Linked DNA regions of Kluyveromyces lactis. The protein of the gene in region 2 interacts with the protein of the main gene of each other region in a pairwise test. Links are inferred from orthologs where the notes say so. Each region holds a gene or a part of one and is shown on either strand. Other genes may lie near its edges. The genes, in order: TAD2 and TAD3.

Region 1 (3,039 bases), about 680 kb from region 2:
GAGGCATTGAAACAACTAATAAGGCTGAAAGATCAAAAACAAATAGATTACGAGGAGCTATCAGAGTATCTAACGCGATCCATAAATGAGAAGAATAATTTACTTTCTGGCTATGGGTCAGGAAATTATTTCAAGAGTAAACTGGAAGAACTAGCTGGTATCAATCAAGAAATGGCAAGAAGAGATAAGATAGCGAAATTAGAGACCAGAGTTCAATCTTTAACGGACGAAGTCGAAAAATCAAAACAAGTCGCTGATGAATTTGAGAAAGAGGTTCTCAAAGAGGTCGAACAGTTTGAACAAATAAAAACTTTGGAATTGAAAGATTCGTTAGCTGCTTTGGCTCAAAAACATATTGATTTTTATGATGATATGGTGGAGAAGTGGTCGAAGATCGAAGAACGTCTCGAAAGCGCCTGACGGCTGGATTTTTTTTTGAAGCCTCTCACTGTGTTTCAAAACACTACAAAGGCTTCGTAACAATTACGTAGAGACATCGATTAATAAGTTTGTACTTTTGTTTCAGTATTTATGACTATCTAGCTATCTTTATGCAATGAAAAAAAAAACGAAAACCAGAAAGAGAGTACATCCATCATGTTGTGAGCATCACTAAAACTTGGAATTGTTTAATTGTGTCAAACTCAATAAGTACAATTAACACTCTGCACCTGTTCAATCAGGTCATGCAAAAAACTTTCATCGCAGCCAGTATCTATGAGATCCCAATCAATTTCATCGTAGACGTCTCTATGCGAATAAAATGCATCTCTAAACTCCTGGCCAAATTCATCTTCAAACTCTTCGAGCGTTAAATACTTATCCCATTGTAGTGGAGGGAAGGTCTCTTTATCCAGTTTTCTATCTTTCTTTGTTCGTGGTTTGGGTGCCCTATCATTTTCTCTAACATAAAAGTAACGTAGAAGCATTATAGCTTCTCTGCGCAAAACGCCGGGGATGCTCACATATTTATTAGATTTATTTGTAGATGTATCATTATGAATGCATAATATAGATCCATTCCCACCAAATCTTTCATTTCCGCAACCAAATACTACCTTCTTGATACCCAACTGTTTTAAAGCACTTGCACACATGATACACGGTTCAACGGTGACATATAGCACAACTTCAGAAAGTATTTTAGGGTCCGTCCCATATTTCTCTTGAATTTGCTTTATGCCCATAAATTCAGCATGTGAGATGCCGCTGATCGACTCATTGGTACCATTCATCCCATATGCAATGACTTTGTTTAATTTTGAATGTACAAAAATACAGGCAACAGGGGTTTCTTCATGATCTAAAGCATATTTCGCCAGCGTAATGGCTGTACGCATATGCAGAAGGTCCTGGGACATCGTTTATAGTCGTTGCTGAATATTTCACCACGGTTTCTCTTGCATGCGCTGCTTTTTCTTGCTCATCGGAACTGCCTGGAAACGTTATATAGTTTCTTTTCGAACATACATTCCTCAATATTAACCTTATAAGAAATATTGACAGAACAGTAGAACAAACGACGAATTAAAGATAAAGAAATATGTATCGAGTCTATGAAATTATCTATGCTATCTTGTCTGTAATTCTAAGATTAGACACTAACTCCCAATGATGTGTTGATTTCTTCAACAATAGGTCTGATAATATCTTTCTTGTTTGGAACCATATGACCACCTGGATGCTCATAAGCCTTACAGTCATCTAACTCTTGACCTTTAGTGTAAATGTTGTATAAATACTTCGCTCTTTCACATGGAACAGCCATATCTGCGGTACCATAAACAAACAGCATCTTGGTAGTACGGTCATCCATAGGTTTGAAAGAATCTTGGAATTTTTGAGAGATTCTTAATTGTCCCTCATTTTCTGGATCTGGTTCAGTGAAAGAGTAAGCAGCGATCAACAAGGACACCTTGAACTGAGGATGAGATGGGACCAATTCGGTGATTTTGTTAGTGATGATAGAAGCCAATGCAGCACCTTGACTAAACCCAACAATACCGTCGTATGGACCATTATCCTTGATATATTTAGTGACAGCTTCAATAGCTGGGCTTAAATCCAATTCAGATGAGATGTCGCTATGATAGAACCATGCTCTGTTAACACCTGCATTAAGGGTTTCTTGCCACTTTGCATCGTCCATTTCGAAAGGCAAGTCTTTCTTTTCAAGGATCACTGGCGCATCCATGTAATCACATTGAACATTAGATTTCTTCAGTAGCTTTCTAATACCAGAAGACTTCTCACTGAAGACTTTACCATTTTGTAAGAAGCCTTGCAGAAACAGTAATTTTGGAGCAGCAGTTGCTGTAGTCATTAGTCCTGGATTTGTGAGATGTTGTCTTTATTTGTCGGTCAATTAGCAAAGGCTAGCCTCTTTACTTTCCAGTATTAACAGCTAGAAGTATGAACTTGATGTAGACATTTATTCACATATATATCCATTCTCTTAACTCCGAGAGGAAAAAAGCTTCAACTATAGGCTAAACCAACAAGGGTCAGCAGCTTAGGATTTCCACAACTTTTTAGACATGAAAATTACTATTTTTAATAAGACTATACCGCATACTCATTAGCTAACTGAATAATGAAGTTTGAGAATGACGGCCAAGCGATAGGGTAGTCAACTCGTCACTACCCTCTTAATCATCTACTGAAAGGTGTCTCTATTTCTACGTAGCGAAAAAAAATATTTAGTAAAAATATCGATTTCACAACAGCATTTCAATGCAAAACATGATAGAGGTGATGCTGGGTAAAGGTAAACGGACCGCCGTCGATACCGCAGTTTTATAAGATGTTCGGACACGTACCAAAGATACTGAACGGTATACGAGGCGCGTGGGCTAGGCCAATGGCTGCCTCCAGGTCTCTGTTCACTCATACAAAGTTCCATTGTAACAAATGTGAACGTACAAAAAACCATCTGTTATCGTATGTATTAACAAAGGGGACATGGTGCATTTGAAAGAAGAGGACATACAGCACCGTTTGCGAATGAGATCAGGTATCTTAGAAGCCGTGTTCGAGGGA
Region 2 (3,093 bases):
AGAATATAAGTGTGTTCTCTTTTCCGGCCAAGCAGTTTAACTTCACAGACGCCCATTAGACAAAGCTGTATAGAAAATAAAGTTCTCCATCTATTCGTGGAGATTTATGTATCATTAATGTATTAATACCACCGTCATCTGTGGTTTTGCACAAATACTCTTCCTTTTCGTCAGACTATTATTTATTTAGTCGCCAAAAATCTCCACAACAAATAGAAAAAGATCAAAGATCATCGCGAATCAGTAATGCGTACGCTGGGAATAATAAAAAGTACATACCCGAAATCCTTATTACTTCAATTACTATGCTCCACGAAGTATTATACAAGCATTTAGACGGCATTTTAGTCTCACGTTTGTATACTGAGGATCAGTTTGTTGATCTATTTTCTAGAACGATACCGGAATCCAACACTGTGATCGCGTCACAGTTATACAAAAGTTATGAAGAGAATGATCAACGGATCATTGAAAAAATAGATAAACTCATCGACAACAAGCTGTCTTTGATAAGAGTTGAGCTCGAACGGGAACAAATTGAAGACTCCATTTCTCTCGAGGAAGTAAATAAACTATTGCATAGCATTGATGATATGTTGCAGCAGCATTTAAATCAATTAAACATTGAACTAGATAATAAAAATACAAAACTTTTGAAATATGCAATGGAACTCAGTGACATTGAAGCAATAGATACTTCCATGTACGATAATGTTGCAAAATTAATAACGGACATGGAAACCAACCAACCTTCTAGTTGAAAAGCTCAAGAACACACGGTAGAATCTATTCCAGGCACTTCCAATTCTTCACCAACCCATTGGAAGACTTCATACTTGGAGTTCAAATCTTTGTTTGAATGCATGCAGTATCCATCACCTGAATCAGGTTTCAGTGCACCGCTGACCGACATAGGATTGATGAATATGCATCTTTTCACTCTGGAATGAATTAGTGCCATGCTGCACATTGAGCACGGCTCATGACTGGTGTATACGTCAAAATCTAAGCAGAGATAAGTTTCCCCTTGATGTATATCTTTTTCTGACGCGGTACCGTTTTGGACACGGTCTCTTCTCTCCTGCTCTTCTTTAGCTACCTCATTTATTCCGACCATAACACTGTGATCGAGGGGAGATCCACTATGTCTATAATCCTTTGATATTATAATTTTACCAGATTTTGGATTAACGAATGCCGATACTATTGGAAGTTGCATGCTATCCGAATCTCGGATTGCTCGAGACTCTTCTGCTATCTTGGTTAACAATGACCGAATCTCTGTCATGTCAAATATATAGTCGTTTAATATCTGGTCATTAGGATTTCCTCTCCAAATTAACGGCCAATACTGTTCACTCCACTTCAACATTAAGCTTTTAGTCGATGGACCGACCTTCGGTACTTTGTTATCGTCTTTCACATTGTCATACTGGAAAACGACTCCTTTCAGCATATTGTCAAAAGTTGATCTATCCGGTATGTACTCTTTGGAGCCGATAAGTACTCGTAGTGTGTCGCTATCAAGCTTCTTGATCCGTTTCACATGAAGGAATGAAACGGGGTCATTATCCTGAATACCTCGTACGAATGGTATCACTGACTTACTTTCCCTTGGACGTACTTCGATAGACCAAGCCTCAACTAGATCAGGCACATCAACGTTTTTGGTATCTCGAATTTGCCAGAGGCAATCTTCGACGATGCATTTTATAAAATCGATCTTAGTGGGGTTCAGATGTTTCTTAACCATACTGTTAGCTTTTCATGTGAATAACTAGTAAATCTAGAGCTATAATTAAGCATCCATTTCCTTTACCCTTTACATATTAGTATATCATCTCATCGCATCGCATCTTACATTTCTATCATTGAAAAATTCATATCCAGAAATTATAGGCTACGAAACACTATTTACCAGTTTAGATCATGCTCGTAAGAAAGATGAACACTGAGAATAATTAATAAGAACCTTAAATTGATCATCGAGATGACTAAGGTGACTTCGAATAATGACCTATATCAATTGGTTTAGATGAAAATTCTTGTCGAATATTTGGAATCTTTAGAGTGCTATGAAACCCTCAGAAAATCGGATATTCTGATCAATGCTGACTCTAATGGGGTATCCAATCTGTTACTCAGCTGTTTCGCACAAGTTAACAGCAAACATTGCGTACCTCCTGAAATTGAAATATCTTCTACTTTCAGCTCATCGTATCACTGTGAAACTATAGAAACATGCATTCTCTACCTTTTGCACAAGAATTTTACGAATAATATACTGACTTATGGTTACCAGCTGGGAAAGAATTCAGATGTCATGACCAAACTGTTTTGCCGTTCATCGAACATAAGCGTAAGTGTATTGAAATGTAATAGCTGGAGATTGTTCCATCAGCTGGTTGGCACTGACAATTTTGTGAATTTGTTAATCAACTATTCCGTATATTTCAACACCGGCCATTACTTCAGGCAGATAATTGGAACCCCCGCTAACGCGCCTCAGGTGCCACCTGCATGGCTAGATCGGTCGTATAGGAGGGAAAGAAATACTAAGCTAACGATAGATTGGAACTCTGCTCTATATCATAAGATAAGACCGCAAGATTACAAGAATATCATTGAGACTGATCAGGGGCTGTTAATAGCTGAGATTTTTCCGAAAATATCAGAGAGCAGTAAGACACCTCGTTCTCTAAACTTTGCATTGAATAATCTAAAACCCATTTTATATGAGCTCATTCGAGCTCACGAGAGGTTTTCATATAGACACATCATCAATAATATATGCCCCAAATCAGATACTTTCTATTCATCACCCAAAAGTGTCATCAAACTGCTCATTGTATGTGTTAGAAAAACGTTCCCATTGGACCTGTTAGGATCAAATTCAAACTATAGCGTTCTATCAAAAGCGATTGCAATACTTGTCAAAAAACCGCTCCATTCAAAGATACTATTTGATGAATTATGTAAAGGATTGCGTGTGAAAGATGTCAAATGGCTAGAAACAAGGCGGCTTCCAGCTGGTGAACAAACTCAAAAGATTCCATATTATGATGTGAAAAATCGACAAGCGCTTCTTTATAA

Evidence for each region.
Region 1: the proteins of TAD3 (region 2) and TAD2 interact in binary tests that used the Saccharomyces cerevisiae proteins (3 or more experiments, as listed by UniProt). The link is inferred for Kluyveromyces lactis from reciprocal best matches to the Saccharomyces cerevisiae genes TAD3 and TAD2.

The regions. Positions count from the first base shown.
Region 1 is NC_006039.1:944,095-947,133, forward strand, and holds TAD2 (tRNA(adenine34) deaminase), read right to left. Parts: upstream 1,362-3,039; coding exon 645-1,361; downstream 1-644. Other genes in the region: SNX4 (Snx4p), read left to right, coding at 1-420; FSH1 (putative serine hydrolase), read right to left, coding at 1,595-2,323. UniProt on the Saccharomyces cerevisiae protein: Structural subunit of tRNA-specific adenosine deaminase, which deaminates adenosine-34 (the first, also called wobble position of the anticodon) to inosine in many tRNAs.
Region 2 is NC_006039.1:1,626,393-1,629,485, reverse strand, and holds TAD3 (Tad3p), read right to left. Parts: upstream 1,754-3,093; coding exon 767-1,753; downstream 1-766. Other genes in the region: SFH1 (Sfh1p), read left to right, coding at 1-9; NKP2 (Nkp2p), read left to right, coding at 306-761; EST2 (telomerase reverse transcriptase), read left to right, coding at 2,036-3,093. UniProt on the Saccharomyces cerevisiae protein: Structural subunit of tRNA-specific adenosine deaminase, which deaminates adenosine-34 (the first, also called wobble position of the anticodon) to inosine in many tRNAs.